Linked DNA regions of Caenorhabditis elegans. The protein of the gene in region 3 interacts with the protein of the main gene of each other region in a pairwise test. Each region holds a gene or a part of one and is shown on either strand. Other genes may lie near its edges.

What was found.
Region 1: the proteins of mxl-3 (region 3) and med-2 interact in a two-hybrid assay, tested with the Caenorhabditis elegans proteins (one large-scale study listed by BioGRID).
Region 2: the proteins of mxl-3 (region 3) and mls-2 interact in a two-hybrid assay, tested with the Caenorhabditis elegans proteins (one large-scale study listed by BioGRID).

Annotation. Positions count from the first base shown.
Region 1 is NC_003281.10:6,880,943-6,887,666, forward strand, and holds med-2 (GATA-type domain-containing protein), read left to right. Parts: upstream 1-3,560; coding exon 3,561-4,085; downstream 4,086-6,724. Other genes in the region: K04C2.7 (Polyprenol reductase), read left to right, coding at 1,313-1,468, 1,795-1,896, 1,955-2,045, 2,270-2,382, 2,565-2,741; brd-1 (BRCA1-associated RING domain protein 1), read right to left, coding at 4,333-4,434, 4,514-4,656, 4,706-4,766, 4,816-4,975, 5,928-6,043, 6,086-6,183, 6,236-6,436, 6,479-6,692.
Region 2 is NC_003284.9:4,756,165-4,765,015, forward strand, and holds mls-2 (Homeobox protein mls-2), read right to left. Parts: upstream 5,477-8,851; 5' UTR 5,449-5,476; coding exon 5,261-5,448; intron 5,205-5,260; coding exon 4,969-5,204; intron 4,731-4,968; exon of another isoform or gene 4,532-4,730; intron 3,656-4,531; coding exon 3,533-3,655; intron 3,480-3,532; coding exon 3,391-3,479; intron 3,345-3,390; coding exon 3,118-3,344; intron 3,072-3,117; coding exon 2,909-3,071; 3' UTR 2,640-2,908; downstream 1-2,639. UniProt on the Caenorhabditis elegans protein: Transcription factor that binds to the promoter of target genes. Regulates fate specification and/or differentiation of multiple cell types arising from the embryonic mesodermal (M) lineage and the ABp(l/r)paa precursors.
Region 3 is NC_003284.9:13,346,793-13,353,767, forward strand, and holds mxl-3 (Protein mxl-3), read right to left. Parts: upstream 4,013-6,975; 5' UTR 3,999-4,012; coding exon 3,906-3,998; intron 3,855-3,905; coding exon 3,581-3,854; intron 3,529-3,580; coding exon 3,384-3,528; intron 3,329-3,383; coding exon 3,133-3,328; 3' UTR 2,847-3,132; downstream 1-2,846. Other genes in the region: ptr-24 (SSD domain-containing protein), read left to right, coding at 1-5, 65-145, 880-1,071. UniProt on the Caenorhabditis elegans protein: Transcription factor which regulates the expression of genes involved in lipid metabolism in response to nutrient availability. Binds to the E-box motif 5'-CACGTG-3'.

The DNA of each region.
Region 1 (6,724 bases), on a different chromosome or scaffold from region 3:
ATTCTACAATTTTGTCAGAGTGAATATTTCGAAGAGTATTTTCTGAATACGTGTCGTCATAGGTAACGAGATAGGTTGAAAACAAAAGTGTATGTGACGTAAAAAGTAGTGATATATATTGAAATCCCAAGGTGATTTCTGCACATATATTTTCTTGTTGCTCATTAGTGTAGCTCCTGTATTACTCTTCTTTAATCTTATTTATTTATTTATTTTTATATTTATTCATCAGGCAACAATCATAATGATGCAACTACAACAAAGCAGTGAAGTGAAGGAAAAAAGAATGAATAAATAGATATAAAATAATCATTAGGCACTTCATTAACTGCTCCGGTACCTTATGACTATGCTTTTATCAAAAATTATTTGGTGAAAAAGTATTTTAGTTCCTTGATGGTTCTGTAGCTGATAGTGAGTAATTTCCAGAATTTTCAAAATAAATATGGTCTGCCAGAGTGAAGTAATTTCTCTTTTTATCATACGATTCCGTTATACCGATTGTACCTTCTATCATATTTTTGTATAGACTACAATTTTATGTTAGTCATACACTTACTACCTTCGCCTGCCTACCGCCTATTTTCTGAGTTTTGGCGTCAGCTTCATGTAGTTTAGGCACGAGAAACGCGGGCAGGTAATCTGATGCCTACAATAATACTATGCACGAACTCTACTTAACACGGATATTTTGCTGTGTAAGCAGTTATCGGATTGAAACATAGCGGCAAGTTCAATAGACTCTTTTTTTCACCTGTAAATATTTTCCCAAATTTTTCCCTTGGAATACTGATTAGAAATTATTTTAAGATGTTTAAAAAGCCTTCAACACATATTCATAATATTTTGTTTCCGTTCGATACATCTTACCAATGCTCTGATGACATCAATGCTAACATTCAGATTTGTTCAAAAAGCTTGTTGCAAATCCCCTTTTTTCTTCTTTTCAACACAAATCCTATTCTGATAGCTGTAATCCTGTCATGTCCCTTTGATGATAAATCATGCGAAAAATGATGAAAAAAGTGTTAATCCGAATGTCAAATCTCCCCCACTATCACCAGCTTACCGGAAATTTTTTGAATTTCCGTTGAGAAGAGAAAAAGTAAGGAAATGTTGAAAATAAGCTGCAATTGGTACACTTCGCCAACGCATTGCAGCTAGTTATGCGTGTAATTTTAATATCATGTGATTCTATTTTTTATGTTTCTCATTTTTTGTTACATTGTCACTGTGTGACACCATTTGCTCTGAAATTTCTTTTCTTCTTTTTGTTGTAAAATTCTCTATCATTTTCAGTGATATATCAGAAATGTTACGATGGTTTCACGTAGAAGACGAGAAGACTTTCCTGTTTGGAATACAATTTCGAAATCGAAAACTGGTCACATTCTTTGCTCTGGTTCAATTAGTAGTGGCTTCTGTATCATTTGCTCAACACATTTACTCAGTTGCTCTTTTTAATAAGGTTGGTTGGAACAGTAGATGGAAGATGAATGACTTCACACGTTACCTATAAATCTTTTGGGGATTTTTTAAATCAGATTTTAAAAAAGAAAGAAAAACAAAAAACACTTTAAAATAAGTTTCCGAAGAATCTAAAATCATTCTATGACTCTAAACAAGCTTAGCAAACTAAAGAGCTTCTGTACCTACCCCATACATTCCAGCCCTGATCTCCTGCTTTTTTGTTTTACCGGGTAGACATATTAATTTCAAAATACATTTGTACATTTGTTTCCTAGAACGAAAATCTTGAAAAACATTCCGACTTGATCGTTTACATTAATTCAGATATTCTATTGCTCATTCAACGAAACTCGTTCCAATACCGGTCATTTTCTATCTCATGACGTGATTATTTTCGACTTTGGTCTTTTCCACGAATTAATTAATGTAAGCTGAACATTTCGTTCATTTTTTGTTGGATGGTTCTCCAAACAAGTATTTTCAGGTCCAAGAATGTATAGCAAACTATTTAGACGGTGGCTATATGCGGTGTCTATGGTGTTTCACTCAAATGATTGCATTGACCTTAACAATATGTAAGTGCTCCAAGGGGAAGAGTAACATAGAGTGTCAATGAACTTGCCTACTTTCTTACCTACTGGGCGACCTAGGCTTGCCTCGTGCCTACTTCCAAAGTTCCCGATATAGATTCTTTCAATTAGTCGTTGCCCGGCACTGCTAAGAAACGGTCCTATTCCTATGCCATAGTTTATCGATCACAGCCTTTCCAAAATTTTTAACTGAACCTTCACGTTTACAGGGACAACACTATGTATACCAAAACCACATCCTTTACTGTTATGGCCGATGTTAATAATTCAAAATGCGTATTGTTTTGGATTAGTAATTTTAACAATAGCAACGGCAGATAAGGTAAGGTTTCCAGTTTATGTCTTCTAGCAGGGCATTAAAACTGGAAGAAAGTCGTCGTTTTTTTCATGATCAAAATTGTTTAAAAGTCTCGTTAGACTCTTTGATCTATTAGATAAATATCAGAACTACCTTTAGGTGGAAAGTTCAAATTCTGGAGTCTGAGCAATCTTAAAATATTTCAGCTCCTGGTTGCCCTGTTCCATCCTGTTAATGCTCACCTGAACCTGATGATTTTATATTTTGCCGTTGGAACATCAATCAATCATTTCTTTGACTACATCCTCTGGCACTACTATTGGTATGAAGAATTTCAATATATTGGTAGAACAGGAAAACATGTGATTCCCTTTTGGGTGTAGATTTTATTTCAACTTTTTGTTTTGTTTCAAACTCAATTGTCAACGAAAAGCCCCCTTCATTTTCATAATCTCTGGGACAAAAAATATTTGTATAAAAACGGTTACTGTGTTCCACCTCTGCTTCATCTGAACTATGTTCTCTGCATCGAATAAAAATTTGTTTAGTTGTTATATCATATTTTTATACTTGTATAAAACTTTTGTTAGTGTGAGAAAATAAACATGCCAAAGTACGTAAAACTGTTAGAATTCACTAATATTCCCAAATTCGAAGAGCATTTTAGATGATTATAAAAATCTCATTATGACAACGAACAAATTTAGTCTTGCTGTAGGTATGAAGCAGGCGTAGGCCCTCTTGAAAACATTTACGCAATTTAATTTTAAAAAAACCTTAGCACTTCATTCATATACAAAATTGTTTTGGAAAATTTATTTATCCATTCAATTCTCAATTTCCAAGTAATCACGCAACACTTGAGGCACGTTGATATGATTCCTTTTCTCCGAGTAAAAGCCATGCTGTGTTCCGCCCGAAAACAAATACATAAAAGGTTTATATTGTAGACGTTGGCTGAAACATGTCCTGATTTCACCTGCTTTCCTAGAGAAATGTTAACATCTCCACCTATTGCACAATGAGCCCATCTTCACCTACATTATCTGATAATAGGTAAAGAAGGACCACCTTGCACCTCTGTCATCATGATGATTTTTAGAGCATTATCATCATTTCTAGTGGGTGTGGTCTACAGTAAAAGAGCCCAAAGAATATCAGTTTGAGTCAGTATTCATACTTTATTCCTTCTCTCTATCACTATGGCTTATCCGTACCCAGTTTTCAATGCTGAAAATGTCTTTGACAATACCCAGCAACAAGTTGGATTCTATGATTATTCAACTCCATTCAATGGTACATACTCCTTCACTACTGACTATTCTTATTATAATAACTACTATGACTATGTCAATACTTATGCTTCTTATTATCCAACTGCAATGGATTCTTCATCTTTAAATATTTCACCAACTACTGGAAGTCCTAATTCTTCCCATTTCACCACGTTTACTCATTTTTCTACTCCATCTACATCTCCATCTACCTCTACTCAAAGTTCAACTCCACCGAGCAATTCTGATAATAAGAAGTCATTTCAATGCTCAAATTGTTCAGTAACTGAAACAATTCGTTGGAGGAATATTCGATCAAAGGAAGGAATTCAATGTAATGCTTGTTTTATTTATCAACGGAAATATAATGAGACTCGTCCAGTCACTGCCGTTAACAAATATCAAAAAAGAAAATTAAAGGTACAGGAAACGAATGGTGTAGATTCTTCTTAATGTAAATTGTATCATTGTAAATTGTATAACTCAATTGTAATTTTCTTGTTTTAAGCCGGTAAATTGTTTTTAATTAATATGATCTCATAACTTATATTTATATCTTGTTCTCGATTTTAATTACATCATAACTTTAATTGCATGGATTGGATGCCGTTGTGTATAAAATAACACTTCAAAAAATAATCATTCATATTGCAATTTTACAATAGAAACGCAAAAGAAAATATTTTAAAACGGAAAATGGTTAATGTGGTGGTGTTGTGATGGAGCATCCAAGAATCGCCTCTATTAACCACTGCTCGCTGACAAGATTGTACTTTGTGCAGTCGCGGAATTTGTCTCCTATCTGTAAAGAGAAATAAAAATGTCACCAAACTGAAACTACCGAATCCATAATAACAGGAAAACTCCTTCGTTAAACTTACATCATGTGTCAAGCTGTAGAGCACAAAGTTTGGTTTCAAGTTGGCATTATGGTACGGCGGTGGATCTTTTTCGTCAATAATGGGCTCCCTCGCTGCAGCTTGACCACCGGCAGATCGAATAATTTCAAAAAGAGCTGGGCGATCTGAAATTGAAAATTGAAAAAATTAAAATACTGTAAATTAGAATCGTACCGAGGAAGTTATACTTTGGCTTTGGAATGAAAAATTTGCAACCGGCGAACAATTTTGGTTGCTGAAAAATTTGGTTGTATTTTTTTCTTTAGTGGAAATCAAATCCGTACCATTTTAGTGATTGTCTTCTTCCATTGTTCAATAGTATTTTCAAATACTTCACCTTCCATCCATCTAACTTTCTGAACCATATAAGAACGATCATCATCGACTTTCGATGGATCAATAATGCACGCTCTCAGCCAATCTCGACTAACTATCATTCCCGATCTGAAAGTATGAATTTCCGCTTTGAAATTTCATATTTTCACATAGATTTTTTTGGCTCTCATACTGCACCCTTGCGATTGTTTGCAATTTTCCCATGGGATCAGTCTATAACTAGACAGGGAAACGCATTTTATAATACAATCGAGCCACTGTGAAACTGAAATGAAGGTGTTTCTGGTGAGTTATATACTACTTTTGCTAATATTCAAAACTAATTTTGCAGTGTTTCCTTCTTCTTCTTCTTTCAATTTATGTTAATGCAAAGAAAGCAGAATGTCGAACTGATTCGGATTGCTCGGATAATAGGCTTTGTGTTTATGGACAATGTCTTTTTTCAAATCATGCAAGTGGTGGAGTTGTTATCACTGACGAAAATGCTGATGAACCTTGTACTTTTGACTGTCCAGTTGGAAAAAAATGTGTGGCAGGAGCCTGTGTTCGTGCCTAATTATCTTTTTATCTCCAATAAATATGTAATGCATTGCGACCTGATTTGAAGGAATGATAGAAAATAGACCATAATTACCGAATATAACTGTTAAAAAATTATTTCAGCTTTGGAAAAATAATAAGTTCTGATTAGTTTTGAACTCTCGTGCAAATGAATGGCTAAATTCGAACGCTTTTCGTGATTTTTGCTTGATGTTCCGAAGATTGTCAGATTTTCATAAATTTTTTAAGCAAAAAAAAAGATGAATAAATGTGAAATTATCGACTTTCAATTCAATTTTGAAGTTTCAGCGAATTTCTTTCTGATTATCATGCGTTTTCTTACGAACAAATGCCTTCCATTTATTTGCGCGAGAATTTAAAAATAAGTAGCCCATTTTTTGAAAAATTTCGAAAAAATTAATTTCTTAACAGCTATAGTCTGTCATTACGGTCTATTTTCTGACATTAAAAATCCCAAAATGACTATCTCCCACTTTTTAGGATAATTTTAAAAACCTACTTTATGATAGCTTTTAAAATTTCTCCAATATGCTCCTTGTTAATATTGAGCACACGAGTTTTCAAATCAACGGTGACTACCACATGCGTCGGAGAATCCATATCAGCAGGAACTATCTGAATAAATTTATTTTATTTTTAAAAATTAATTGTTTTTACATTGATTTTTCCGGGAAGTTTTCGTTTTTCAGATTCAGTGAGCATCTTCTCATCTATGAGTTGAACGAAATGAAGACGAGATTTTGGAGGGGCGACGACTGAAAATTCAATTTTTATCACGAAGAATAAAATTGTCAAAAAATTTCTTACCAGGCTGTAAAACTCTCTGTTCAGTCTTGAATTTTTCGATTATTTTCCTAATTTTCGGATCACTTTTAGCCATTTCTTCGACAGTTTTTCCAGCAATATTTCGAATTTTGATGCTGGCACCTTTCGATAAAAGATATTCAACAATTTGAGTATTTTGACGGCGAACAGCCTCGTGAAGCGTTGTTTCTAATGTTGAGCCGCCTGAATTCTTCGTCAAGAAAGTTGATAGAAGTTGTTTCTTACATGAAGCATTAATAACTGCACCCGCTTCAACAAGTATCTTAACAGCTTCCAATGAGCTATTCTCAACTGCCACGTAAAGTGGTGTCTTTCCGTCTTCTTTCTCATTTACGCACGTTCCTGCCTCTACAGCACTTCGAAGTTGAGGAATACGATTATTGCGAATTGAATTGACCAGGACAGCTTCACCACGACGAGTACCATAAGAACTGCGACGCTGAACATTTAAAAAATTGCAAAAAGTTTGCG
Region 2 (8,851 bases), 8.6 Mb from region 3:
TTATAAACAAAAAACTCAATATTTCAAGGTTCAAGTCACTTTAAGGTTAAAAGTGAGGATTTTGTCACAAAATACTTGTGTACTATGAAAAACTATAAAACTTTGGATCCTTTCAAGTTTCAGCAACTGCTGGTATTAGAAATTTTCGGCAATCGGCAGTTTTGGCAATTGCTGATTTATTTAAAATATTCGGCAATTGGCAGTTTTGGCAATTGCTGATTTATTTAAAATTTTCGGCAATCGGCAAGTTTGGAACTTGGTGAAATTGCCGACATTTCAATTGCCGAACAGCAATTACCACGTGCCTGATTTTTGGAAGTTTCGTAAACTATATGTTGGCATAGCGGGGCTTTCAACAGATTGATCATTTCCATATTTGAATTTAGAAAAACGTTACGATTTTTTTGACGTATTTTAATATACTTCGGCTATCAATTTGCCAAAAATTGTTTTGACAATAGTCGATTCCTTTCCATACTCAAAATGTTTATAACAACATTAAATTTGTTCAGCTTTATTTCTAATATCACCCAATTTTTTTCAACTAAGCTGTCTGTTTCAACCCGTCCTTCAACAGCTGCATTTTTTGTCCAGTTACAAGATGTTTTCTTTTCCACTACCAGTGTTACCACCGCTTGCTACAAACGGCAAAAAATTTGAAAACTGACTAGAACGCGAATTGGTACCAACACATAAGGTCAGCAAACAAAAACCCTCGCCACTACGCCATGTCCCTTTCGTAACTCCGCCCATGTCGCATATAAAAGACGGTTCAAACTGAACACTAGCACACTAGTTGTCTACAAATTACCAGCTATTTTCCAAGTAGAGAAAAGTTTCTAATTACCCATCATGCACAAATGTGGTGACTAGAGCCTATTCTCTTCTTGGAAAAGTGGCGACTCTTGTCAAAAGTATTATCTGATATTCGAGCACGATGACCCCGTCCAATGGACGATATCACAGCAATCACAATGAGAAGAATACATCTAGATACTCTTTTCATTGGTTTCTGTGAAATCGTATTTGAATGGAAAGTTTTATATTGAAGAGTTAGGAACACACACACACCCAATTCAAAACAACACCTGTGAATATGGTGGTGCGCCAAAGGAAATTTGTGGCGGTTGTTTGCCATCGCACGCTTCAAATTTGTCGAAACGATGGAGTGGTGAACTTAAAAAAAACGGAAATCTTAAACCGCCAAAATCAAAGGAAAAAAGTGCACGGAAGTTCCGAAGCCTTATCACAAAAATTTATCACATGAAATTATACCAAACAGTCAAAATTTTCACCTTCACGAGTGTTTTCATCAGTGTTTCAGTTGCTTGCCATGTAGTTAATCATGTAGTTACTTTGAGATTCTTTGTAGTTTTTTTTTTAATTTTTAGATTTGTTTCTATAACACATCACGTTTTGATCATAAGCGTTTAATGAAAAATTTGTTAGGAAGATAAAACTGGAGTGATAAAATAACTGCCAAGTTTTAATTGTGTCTTTCTATTGAACATGTAACAAAATAGGAACGTTCACATTTTCGCTGTCACTAGTGAGGACAAAAGTTTTTTATAAAATTTTTACCTAGTTCCAACTATTTGATGTTTCAATTTTTCTTCTACCCGTTTATACATTTAGCTTTTTGTTACCTCGAAATGTCTGTTTGCTTTGTCTTCAAACACTTCTGATTTTACTTTTTTCTTACTTTGATCACTGATCAAAAAAGATATTTCTTGCACGCCAACAGAGTCAGGAGAGAAATTCAAATTTCTGTCGGCACGACAAAGGTCGCGGTTCCCATGAATCATTAGAACACGAATGACCTCAAACTCTTCTATCTGTGCAATGAAATAGTTTTAACATGATGTCATGATAAAAAGTACTTTTTTGAAAGCGGAAAGTTGGTCGGCCCTATCAAAGATGAGATAGAGGATGAAACGATCTGTAAAAAAGCAGCTGTAGATAAAAGTACTGAACATGTATGTGTGTATTGTGAAGTACAATGACTACGACTAAAGAACTTAGAATTCCAACTTACAAGATGCGCTTTAAAATTATCAATCCGAATAAAAAGCGTTGCAACAAAATTTCAGAAATCAGCAAGTGTCGAAGGAATTTTTTTCGTAATTTTTGAAATTTCTAGAAATTTTTTTTGGAGTTCTTCAAAACAGTTCTTCAAAAATTTCTCGAGCGTTTTTGTACTGTTTAAGACAGAGATTTCTAATACTTTTGACTCTCCAATATTATTTCAAAGCATAACAACTTACTTTTTTCAAAGTTGCCTACTGAACACCTACACTACACTACCCTAATTCATTCTACTAATTTTAACCATTAACCTTTCAAAACACAACAAAAACTCTTTAAAAAAACAGATACTACATACAAAGGAGACAAACTATTATTTTATATCCAAGTAATACAATTCAAATTTTTGGAAATTTTGTAAGTTTTCGTTCTTCAAGCAGAATAAAAGTTTTCTGATATTTCTGCAGTTGATGGAATTTGAACATTTGTTTTGAAATTTCATCTTAAATATTAGTATATGTATGTATGTGAAAAGAGTAGCTTTGCTACCATCATAATCTGTTGGAAAATGGTCTTTTACACATCAAAAAGTTTCTATCATTTTTGTATTGTATGTATTCATAATGTAAATTTATTACTCAATAAATAATTATTTAGTGAAAGAGAAAGGATTGATGAACTGAATTATCATGTGCTCGAAGATAGTTTATAAAATACACAGAATGACACATAATAAACATATAGGGTATGAAAAATAAAATATATACGAAGGGCGATGAATCAAAAATCAAGTGTGAAGAGATAGAGTCAGTGATGAGATGAAAAATGTGTTGAGGTTGAGTTGAATTGCACAGGGGGTGAGTCTAAATTAGTAATAAGGTGTTCACATGTTCTGCGCTTGAGCCGACGCATTCAAGTTTTGCTGTGCCTGAAGTGTACCAAAACCGAAAAGAAACCGCGCGGCGGCAGTTGCAGAAGCATCCATTGGAGATGAAATCATATTTCTCATGTTCACACCAGCACTGGTCGTTGGGATCGTAAGGATTCTGAAATATAAAATTTAGAATTAATTTCATGAAACAGTAAACTCACGGAGATGTAAGAGCTGTGGTTGCTGGAATCGAAAACACATTAGCTCTATGCATCTGCAGGGAAATGTTCGTGTCATCAGTCTGAGCTTGTCTCTTGAACTTGTTTCGTCGATTTTGGAACCAAATTTTCACTTGGGTCTCCGTCAAGTGCAGCTTCTGTGCTAAATTTGATCTCTCTTGACTGCTCAAATATCTTTTGCATTCGAACATCATTTCCAATTGGGACACCTGAATGAAAGTATTATTTGAGTTCGGAATGTACAATTTCTGATACCTGACTCCTGCTGAAGACGGTTCTGGTTTTCTTCTTTCTATTTTGTGATGGATCGCTAGAGTTGGCTTCATCATCGCTTCCACGGCCAACTGAAATACAGTTTATGGACACTTTTGTGGACACATTTTTAAATTCAACTCACTATCATCGTCATCTTCTGCGTCAGACTCCAGCGGGCTGCCACCAGTGGAATCCCTGGTCTCCCCATCTTTTCCCTCCGATTTTTCATCCTTCTCTTCTCCATTGTCTGATTGAATATTAACATCTGTAAGGAAACACATTTTCAACAATTACTTAATTCCTGACAGGCATATTAACCATATTGCATTAAGATACTTCCATTGACAGGCCACAATTATAACACATCCCCCCGTGGTCCATCGGTTAATTATCTCAATGGACGGGGGATTACTAGGACACGGGTGTCGGTCAAAATGACACCTTTATAAATAGATGTCTCTATATTAAGAACTACCTTTAGTTTTCAATACTGATTCTTCGTTGACTAATTAGAATCTCTTAAAAACCGAAGTGTAGCCGCTTACGTTACGAATATTGACGACTAAAAATGTGCGCTCATGCGTATGCCTGATTTTTCATGCGAAATGGAAAAGGCTCATTAGAATAAGAGATTTCTATTGCTGTTTTGATCATTTCACATGTTATCAAAAACAAATCAGTGGCAAAACCACATGTATCAACAGAGTCAGCGTAATAAAACAGCGTGATGATGTTATTTTACAATACGCTGATTTGCTTTGCCAAATCAACTGAGCGGAAAACTTAATGGCTTAAAGTTGGACCTGTGAGGGGAAATAATTAATCAGCATTTTTGTAATGTTAAAATGGCTTAATATCAAAATAAAACTGTTTTTAAAAAAATTTTGAGCCAAAAATTAGGTAAAAGCGGACTATGAGTTTTCAATGTTCTTTGACTAAAAATAAATTTTATTTAAAACATTTTTGAAATGTTTTAGTATGACATTTGGTAATTCCCTACAGGCCACATTTCATTATTAAAAACTTTGAATCTGAAAAAAAAAGTTGTTTCTCTATAATTTTTAATTGAATGTATTTATTTTTAGAATCAAAATAAAAGTCAAGGACCTGACACGCGTCACCGAGCTCATGGGGTTTAGTATTCTCACGTTATTAACTTATTGCTGTTTGAGCACATCCTTTCAAGAATCAATGAATACCGCGTGTGGTGTTACCCAACAAAAGATAATTAGTTGAGTTCAACACAGGCGAGCGATTCTGATTCTTATCCTAAGAAAGGAACTGCATCCGCCGACAACCTCCCCCCTCCTTTTTCCATATGTTCATCCAATACCGTTGTTCAACTTGTTAATGAGTCCAGACTTGGCTAATTCGAGACCATACAATAACAATGGGTCAGAAAATGAATTAGTTACTGTATTAAGGGGTGTTCTGAGATTCGGAGAATAAAGAGAACCGACCGAAAATTATAGTGGTAAACGGAACACTGTTTTGAATGAAATGAAATATGGTAGGATTCTTTCACACATTAACTAATGACAGACTAAGGAGAGAGGAAGTTGGGTAATATCTACTGACCTGGGTTGCTCATGTTTTTGAAGTGCATTAGTTGAGCAGTCGGAAGTCCAAAGAATGGGAACATGGTAAGTGGTGAGATCATGTTTTGTTGATTGCCGACGTTCAAGAAAGTTTGCTGAAGTTGCAGGAGGGCAGAAATCGGATTCATTTTTGGATCAAAATTGAAATTAAACGCCGTTTGCTCAATTTCATTGGTGCTATCCTCTGAAGATGCCGACGGGGAACTTTGTGTAGTTCTGAAAGTTTAATTTTATACAAATAAAAGGAAAATAAATGAAAATGTTCAACTTACGGTTTTCTGTCATCTTCCAGCAACTCAGAAATATTGAATTTAATCTTATTATCTGAACTTGGCTTCATCTCTTCTTCCTCTTCTTCCTCCATCAGTTCAATCTTTGGAAGTTGTGACATTTTTTCGAGACGTTCTTGCGAGCTCATTGTCGTCATATCAATAGGGAGATTCATAACTGAAGTCGGCATGTTTGAGAAAAATAGAGTCAACTGAGGGCTAATCGAGAATACTAATGAGTAGCCCCGCCCCACCATTCAAGACTACGGTAGCTGGGCGAGCGTTCGCGGATAAATGGGGTGTAGGAAATGGGAAGGAGAGGAGTAATAATGAAATGATGACCAAGTCAAATTATTGTCTTTGGTAGTGTTAAGAAAACGGATATCAAAACTATATAAACAATGGTTGACCAATAGGAAAACGACTATGAATACAGTTGAGAGAAGTTTAGCAGAATCTGAGGATCTCGAAGAACTCCCTGCTTGCTTTTCCGCTAATGTGTTAAGTGATCAAGCAAAACAGAGATGTTTCTAGGCAATACGCCCTGTCCAACTTAATGTCTAATTCGTTTAAGTGGATTACTATGTTTGGTTAACACCATTAATCACAACAATTAACCGTTTTTTTTCCGCTGAGCGACTCTATCAATTGTTTCAAAATTGATGATCAATTGATTTTGTAATGTAGGTTCAATGTATATTCCAACGAGAATGCCAAAAAGCTAATCAGTTATGCTTTAAGCAAAACATTATTAATTTAAATATGAAATTCGAGATGTTAGTGGATCGTTGTTGCTATGCGAACGCACGGGTCAAGCAGCAGCTTATCCGCGGTTAGTGTCGAATTCGGAGTGCAAAAGGTAATAATGAGGAATGATGGAAACAGGAGAGATATCTAATATAGGCTCGATGAGCAAAACACTCAGGATCATTGTTCACTTGAAATGTGTTCGAATACCGTAACTCCTTGAATAGTACTGTACCACACTATTTGAAACGTTATATCTGTGTTCAGTATCAAAGATAAGAAACTACAAACCGCTAAAAAAAATTGACAAGTACTTTGTTCGTGTTAAGCTGGTAAAGATGGAAACTGGGTTGAAATCCTAATAGGGAAAATACGGTAAATGGTTTGATATTTTGATGTACAGGAAGTTGAAAAGAGTACTGCCAATATTGTGATGACATCTTTTAAACTACTTTTTTCCATACTTTCCAAAAAAATCATTTTTGGCTGAAAAAAGAACACTCGTATTACTGTTAATTTTCAGAATGGGGGTTTAATTTACAAATGAAAATTTTAGACGAGATTTCTGATACCTTAGAGAACCCATGCAAAACTGAGGGAAAAGAGATGAATCAAGAGTCGATGGAAGTGAATCGGAAACTATCACATGAAGTCTTATGAAGCTTGAAAAAAAGTTCGAAGCAAACAAGTAATCACGAAATGTGTTTTTTTTCCTGATTAACCCTTGAGAGTCCAATGACGAACATTTGAAAAAAAAATCAAGTTTTAGTTTTGATCAAACGCAAAATAAAACGAGTTGAGGTGAGCACAGCCGTATTGAATGAACGTCCACAGCTCCACCCACTTCCATGATATACGGTAATTGGGACCCAAGACGCTTACCCGCCCGCTCTCATGTGTTTGTGTGCGCGCTCGTTTGGTTTCAAATAGGGAGGGGGGAGAAAATAATTCAACACAATCTCATTAAAACCGGTAATAGTAAAATAAGGCGACGACGTATTTGTACAGAATAATATGGTCGAGGAAAAACATGCACACACGTAATGGCTGATAGTAGTGGCGTTCATAGAAATGAGCTGAAAATGAGCAGAAATGAAATGAAAGATGAGGATGAGAATGAGAAAATGGAATTGATATTTTCCACATTATTTCCCATTATTCTCTTAGAGGTTTTGTTATGTAAAACATCACAAAATGGATTTAATACGACGACTCACAACGTTCTCAAGCCAATGTGCAACACTGTAGAAGGTGTGAAATGTTGGTGTCTGTTGCTCACATCTAAGGAAAACGACACCGGAAGTGTTTGTCTAACAAATTTGTCCATTAGCGCAATCTGCCTTGTTTTAGTACCTATCGCTATAGTCATACGATACAGAATAATGGAATAAGTGACCTGTTGGTAATGTTGGGGCCAGATTGCGCAAAAACAACCGTTTTGGGAAACATTTCTTTACATCCGGTTTGCAATAGACACCTGCTAAATTGTAAGGTGCGAATGACCCGGAGGAGGAAATTCAAACTTGCTTCTGATGGGAAAATGTTGTGCTCTTCCCGACAGCCGTAAATCAATAATGGTTTGGTTCGCAACACACAAGTCTAAAGGAAGCGTGGAATTTATGAGTTTAAAAGTGAATCAAAGAGAAAGAACCGATGATGCGATTCAAAAATCTGCAATAATTTCAAATAGTGTGAAGGAGTCTTAGCTAGTGAATTATCGAATAAAAATACTTCTAATGTACAATCTTAAAACCTTGAAAATTAGGAAACGTTTTGGATCTTTGCGTAGTTCTACTTAAAATAACCCAAAAAGTCCAAATTTCAAAACGAGCCTTTTCGAAAAACTGCTCACGTTTTTTTGTATTGAATGCCAACAGCTAACCAAAATAGGGAATTTAGTCACTTTTGGTTACCTAAAACACAGAAAAAAAGCAAAGTTAATTATAAATTAAATAGAATCTGAAAAAAACCGCTGAAACACTAGGAAAATTATAAAAAATTGGTTGAGCCATTTAATGATTTATGCAACTTTTTATGAAACGTCTCGTACTGAAATTTGATAATTGTATTCCATTTTGAACATATGTTTTTCTTCTAAGATTAAGAATTTATACAATTTAAACAAAAAACTATGTTTTTTTCTATTAGTATTGCATGCAAAACGTTTTTGTTGGACTAATTTCGAGTGCAATAGTAATAGAGAATACGGCCAGTAGCTGTCTATACCAGCAGGAATCAAACTTATTTGAAGACGTCTCAATTCTATTTTAAAACTTTTTTTTCAGAGAGTACATTTTCTGCAAGACGGCCTTTGGCACAAGTCAAATGTGAACTCAAACGTGTTAATAAAAATCAAAGAACACCGATCACTCGGTGTGTAAATTATTCACCGACGGGAGGTGTCAACGAGTGTTGTGCTGCTAAAGGTTTCGAGATACAATCTCTAAGTAAAAAAAACAAAGCACGTGGTAATGTGGTCTGAGATACAGCTGTGGTCGGTTTCGCCTTTCGATGTATTTTATATGGAAACAATGAAGCATATACTAATTAATTAGGGGTCTGTGTAAGTGTGGTATGTGATATGAGCGAAAAATATTGAAACATGGATTTTAAGTTTACTCAAATCATTTTCTGATTTTTTTTAAATTTAATAATAATAATAAAATATGTATGGGCATGTTCAGTTTTAAAAACTGTTCTCCTTTTGTTTCCTGGTATATGTCTCATATTGTGCAGTTGTAGTCGGTTTGGACTAACATGCTTATATTAATTCATTGTGACTTTACAAGTCAACAGTTTGAAAAGCGTCATCTTTGCAGCTCAATTACTTAAAAGGGTCGTGTTATT
Region 3 (6,975 bases):
AACAGGTGATTTTAAAAAACGTGATACAATTTGTGACAAGATCTTTTAATCTTTTATGTTGCAGGCAATGCGTATCAAATTGAGAGCAAAAAAAGTTGACAGAATGAACGAGATGCTGAGAAAGTGTTTCTTTCCGTGCATTGCGGTAGGGTTTTGAACATTATGATAACAAATTTTAATTGAAAAATTAAACTGAGGAGGGGGATAGCAAATAGTTATGGGACTCGAGCTTTTCGCAAACAACTGGATTCTCTGAAACTGATTGTCTCCACAGTTACTCCTGCATTCCAAAAAAAAAATGTTCCTTCTTTCTAGAAGAATTCATAGCTTTTCCCATTTTTAGAGCCAATACGATTTACACCCCATAAATATGTCTTGAGGTTTTCTGAAAATTAGTCTCAATCATGATAAGAAATTTCTTAAACAATTGTTGAAAATGTTTAAATCCACAAAAATTGTTTAAATTATTATAATTATTTTTAAGAAAAATCGAACTTTCTGTCAGCCCCGCACATAACACATAGTAGAGACACATCGTAATAAATGAACTTTGCTGAAATCTGCAAAAATAACTAGTCATAAATTGCTCGCACATGTGCTACAACATCAGCAGCTGAGCAAGTGATTCTATATGCAGGATTCGATTCCAGGAACTAGACATGTGAAAATTACGATTACCAGAACTGATAAATCATGTCTGCTGAACTTAGTGACTTGGTTAGCCAAAGTGTGATGTTTCACTGTGAATGTTACATCACTGAAACACAAATTTGATGGAACTTATTGAAAACTGTTAACACGTAAAAAAACAGAAAAGTAGCAACAAGTTCACCAATCTCTTCATAATTTTTCAAGTCCTAAAAATTGTAATTTTTGCAGAGTGTCATATGCTCTATTGCGGTCTTCGTGCCGACTATGTTCTGCCATATAAACATCTTCGAATCAGTGGCTTTCACCAACAACGTGTTTTGTCTGTTGGGTATTGTCATCGCATTCTTCGTGCAAGTCATGCTCAACATGCTCCCCGACATGTTCACGGGTACCCATTGGTTTTGTTCCCCTCAATCTTAATTAATTTCTTCCTTAGTGTTTCATTGTAAACTTTTATTCCAAAAAATATCTGTAAGCTAAATGTCACCACATCTCATTTTCAACCATTCCTGTCACTTTTTTATCGACATTCTACGGTTTCTAGACCTTAATCTTTTCCAAATTGTGCCAAAACTTTGTTCTCTTCGGCGAAGAAGGGAAATTTTGTGGTATTTGTTTCGCATGTATTGTATTTGTTCGGATAATTTCAGTTATTAAATAAATTTTGTTTGAATTATAAAAAGCGTAACTGAATCATTTATTGTAGAAGTAACTGTGAAACTTATGCAGTTAACAACTTTTGACGTTTTTTTTTTTAACAATTGTCAATTCTTAGCAAACCCTGTTAATTTTAGGAATTGACAAAATGTCCATCTGCCAAAAATGTCTTATTGCCGCGCACCCTGGGAAAGATGCTAAAGTTTTTGATTCTCCCCGAACAATTCGGTCCTCATAAAACGTAAATTTTATATAATTTCTCAGAAGGCTTTTTTTCTTGAAAATAAGAACAACTGCAAAACTTGATAAATCTGTATCACAACATATTCGTCATATTTCATTGACAAACTCCCAGCGATCTTCGATATTCCTCCTTGAAGGTTCAATGTTGAGTTGTTCAGTGAACTGTCCTCGTTCTCTCAAGTGTGTTTTGAATTGAAACAACTATTTTTCCGTTGGCTTACGATGCGATTCTCGCATTTGATATTTTGAACCAATCATATCATCAAGTCATTTGATGACACGTGTGATGATATGCCTCGCATATTGTTTTACGAAATGGCCTCAGAGAACACACATTATAAAGAAAGAAAAGTGGAATAGAGCGGTTTTTTTTGGATACGTGATGAAATATGATTTGACTACAACAAAACGTTAGAGCACTGTACCGTGTACTTTTTGAGTTGATATCATGTTTTAGAGCATGCTTGTTTAGAATTGCAGGAGCAAAGTGCAATAAACGACCTATTTCAAAACAGCAAACCTATTCCAAAGATTTTTGGCTTTCAATGTAGTGCTATGTGTATTCAGATTTTTTTAGATCTACCAGGGGTGTGCGGCAAAAATGAAAATTTGCCGAGCTCTTTTTTCTAGTATATGCCAAACTCGGCAAATTCGGCAAATTTGCCGGAAAAGCTCGAAAAAATGTGATAATTTTTGATATTGTATGGGGCACCAAAAATGGTGAATTCTAAGCATACTTTTGATTTTTTCACAAGATCCGTGTGGTCTATCTGCGTACAAGTCTTGCTTACATGTTACTTAACTAGAAGTTTTGGAGCAAAATCAATGGTTCCGGTCAAATTATGTTAGTCGAATTTGTGATGTGTGTGGCAAATTTCAAAGTTTACCGATCTCGGCAGATTTGGCAAACCCACTTTTTGGAAATTTCTCTTGCTGGGCAATTTCGGCAAATTTGTCGCAGATCTCTGTTATGTATAATGGAAAATAGTTACTCTAATTTGTAAGTGGTAAAAAGCATTGTTTTCATCATTTCAATTCTATAAAAATGACCACTACTAAAATCCAAATCTTTTCCCCATGCAAAAGTCCAGAGGAATAGACATAAATATTTTTTCTGTAAAAATCCTTAAAGTATACGACTACTGACGCGTATATTGACCATTAAATAAAGTTGACAAGAAAAGTAACAACCTGTTTACTTTGCAGCAAAGAACTACGGTAGCTGAAAGACTTTCTATTGGGTGCCTTTATAAATTTTAATTTTTTGCAATGTGTTTTACTGGTGTTGAAAAAATGTTGATATAAATATTTATTATCAGTATTTATTATCGGCATTATCAATAAATAAGATATCATAACTGGAACAAATCAGTGAGTAAAAAAAACTGAAATAATATATTGTCAGATCAAGCAGGCAATTCTTAAAGTACACGTGAAACCCATGTATGTCCGGAGAAACCGAATGGATGTTTGGAATGTCCGAAGAAGGGTTCATGACGACCGAGTAAATGAGATCAAAAAATATTAGAGAATTCGAAGGGTGGGGGTATCTAAGAAATAAAAAAGCCTTTTTGAAGGTTTTTAGATTTTCACTGCCATTTGTTGATCAACCGGAGAAAATGCACAAGGATAAAAGCCAGAAGGTGGAGTACCAGGTGCAGAATCCAAAAGCGATGGGCTCACGCTTTGAAAGCTTCCGAGTAAAGCCAAGATGGCATCATTGTTAAGAGCAATAAGCCCATCTAATTGAGCTGGGTTTGTGGATTGAGCAATTATACTGAAAATACTTAATTGTTAAAATCAGATTCGGAACAATTTATTTGTTTACTTACTTTGCTTGTTGTGGGTATTGAGACAGCTGTGCAATGTTTTGCATCTGTGGGATAATTGGCATGGTGAGCTGCATTTGGCTTGAGCTAACAGCAAGAGCTGGAAGCCGAGAGGAAGATGGAGAACCGGAAGACTCGCGTTCGAGCACTGAAAATTAGAAATTGAGCTCATGAATCCACTAGATATCCATGTAACTTACGCCTTTCCTCAAGAAGCTCGTTTTTCCTTGTGAGATCTTCAATGGCTTTTCCTTGACTACTGAGCTTAGTTTGCATGACATGGATGAACTCAACTGCTCGTTTCAGGATCAGGGCTCGCGACGATTTCTCCCCATCAAGCAGTGGAATGGCATCCTTAAGAATGGTGAAGTGATCTTTGATATGGTCACGTCTTCTGCGTTCAAGTTCGTTGTGATGTGCACGACGGTCATCATCCATGGATGGAGAAGCCGACTTCGGGCTTGAAGAATCGTCCTGGAAAAAGAACAATTAGTAAAATAAGGGTACAACAGAAGTTTAACTTACATCGGAAGAATCCGAGTGATGGCGTTTGCGGAATTGTTTTTCCATTTTCATGGATGAAGAAAGCAAGTACATGTCTTCAACGATTGCGGACATGGTAGAGATGTTGACTGTAAATTTAATATATATAGCAATGAAATATCAATTTTAAGAGAAGGTTATATAAGAATACTGTAAGTGAAAATTATCACAAACAAAAACAAATACACAATTAAACAAAAAATATGTAAAAGAGCCATGCGACCATCTTCGAGGGTGTCGTTAACTGTGGTATGATCTGCAATGCGAGAAGGAAGATATAGGAAAAGGGGCGTTCTGTCTGACAGAAAGGGAGGAGTCGACGCGCCGCCTCCAACACGCGGTCAGCGTGTGTTCTTTGCACCTCAGCCACTGTGGGTGCTAGGGTGCCCGGAGAAGTGGCGCTCTTTGATATAAGCTCTGTAGCTCCGCCCATGTTTTGGAGCAGAAGGTTATAGCCTTCCCCCATTTTGTCAACCGATCACTGAAATCATGTGAATCTTGCGGGGATCTCGTAAGGGTAGCATGCGTTTGTGGGAAGGATCAAGATGAAGCATTCCTTGAGAGGGTACAAGGAACAAATGTTTTGGAAGAAATTCTGAGGATGTCAGCAAAGAAGCAATTTGATTGGGAGAAGCACAAATATGGCAACACGGGGATGTCAAAAAGTGCAAACACTCAAAGAATGCGTAGCTCAATTTTAATTTCGATGGTGACGGTCGGGTGCAACGCATCCTCTCATTCACATGCGCCTTCACGTGCCGTGTTCATTTCTTGACGACAAAAAATACCCGAAACTTTGTTTCCTTGGCTGCCTTGACTTAGTGTGCGTGCATCGTGATGTGTGCAACGCACAAAGACCTCTGATAACATTGAGTGAGCTCAAAATGTAGGTCAAATTACTTCCGAATGATGTATGGTGGTGTCAACAGTACCGTACACCTCTAGGAGTGAACAGACTCAGGCAAAAAACTTTGCAAACAAACAACTTGGTGTACTATGACCCCAAACTTGTTAGTTACTTTTGTTTTTTTTTCTTTCAGCAGTGTGTGGCCTAGGGGACTGTAGCTAAACGTTGTAAACAAATTAAACATGTGTTGTTGTTTTACAGAAAAAAATTTGAGTCAAAAGGCAAACTTCCTCTAAAATAAAAATGTATTAACGGCCAACATATATTCGAATTCCTTGTAGTCGTTGACTTTCAACCAAAAATAAATTCGTTCCTACAAAAAATCGCAGATTATCATACTAAGAAAGAAGAACATCAAAATATATGTTTCACTACAATTATAACAACAGATCATTTCAAATTTTCGCCCTACATAACGCTACATAACTCTGTAAGACTTGGAGTAATGTCAGATTCAATTCTTTAATAACTAAATTTTTAAAACTTTTTTGCAGTTTTAAAATCTCTTTTTTCACTGTCAATAGTCATGGTGGTGGTATGATAATTTTTTCCACATTTTCTAGCACATAGGTCTACTGAAAATGTATTTCATTTCTCTGGAATGATATTTTTAGACATCGAACGTTTGGGTTTTTCAGTTTAATTGCTCTATCACGTAGGTCATGCGACGCTCACTTAATGAACCCTGAATTGATTTTGATTTTAGACGACTGCGATAGAAATGTGATCGTACTTTGGGCTAACGTAGGGGGTGAATATGATTTCGCGCCAAGAACGATCAGATTTCACAATTCGGATGTTGTACAGTATCTACAGAATTTAGTGATATGGACTTTGATTGGAAATTTCAATAATATTATAGTTCAAATGAACTAGGGTCATTTGCACAAAGCGAGGGTGGGTGTCTTGCTCGTGCAAAAAATTAAAAGAAAAAAGCACGCTGACGATAAGCTTTACAAAATCCTTTGCTAATCTGTTGAAAATCACAACTATATATCAATAATCCGAAAAACAGCGTGGTGGCGGCTTGTTCGATCAAGTGTGTTATCTAAACGTTAACCACTAATCTCTCTGGATCAACTCAGATTTCTTCGAGGGAGTAGCTCTGGAAAGATAAAACCGCCGTGCTGTACATTACCAGGAATTTGGGAAAAAGATTTCAAATAGAGCTGGGTTTTCTTTTAGAAATCCTTGTTTTTCTTTGTTTTTTTTTCTTGAATCGAGAGAATGAATCAAATCTAAAATGAATGTAATCGGGTAAACACGGAATAAAAAATACAAAAGTTTAATATTTGAATATACCTTGGATTAACCACATTTAGGTTTCGTGAAACCGGCATTTAACCGCTACAATCAAGCAAAACCATTGCTAATTATGCATTGTACCACAAGTTAATCAAATACACATATGGATACTCTTAGTTTTGCCACCATTTGCAATTTCAGTACTGCTACTCTAGATACAGATATTTTATGGCAAAGCTCGTGAATGATTATAAATATTTTATTTTATAGTGCGGATGAATCAATCTTGACTGGATTTTTGAATTGTGTCTAAACCATGTGATTCTAATTGTTTCAATGCAATCTGAAAACTTATTTATTAAAGGCTATGAATCAAAGATTTGTTTTTTCGCCAAACTTTAGAGCGCAAAGAAATTGCATTTTTATACCAATTAAGTTAATATATTAATCTATTTGAAAGTGGTTTTCTAAGCTTTTCTTAATTTTTAAGCCAACTTATCCCCTATTTGGCAGTCATCTGATTGCTTGGAATTTACACTAATCCACACCCTCAACAGATTAAATGAGGGTGGATGTAAAATTCATTCTCTTTCAATTTCGATCCCAACGTGATCAAAGAGCATATATTGGTCCAGTTGTTTCGTTGATCCCCGAATACACCTTGACTTGCTACGTCGATTCTACTACTTTCCTGCTTCTGATCAGTGCACATTAGTGAAAATAGAGTATCTTTTAAGAAACGTACAGTTGACATTTCTCCGCATGATCAACACTTCACGTGCGGTACGCGTGTTCATCGAAAAATCACAAAACACTCAGCAATGAACCCAATTGAAAGAGGAGAGTGAATTGAAAGGAAGAGATGAAACTCGTATAACTAATTCGAGTGAACAGAGAACA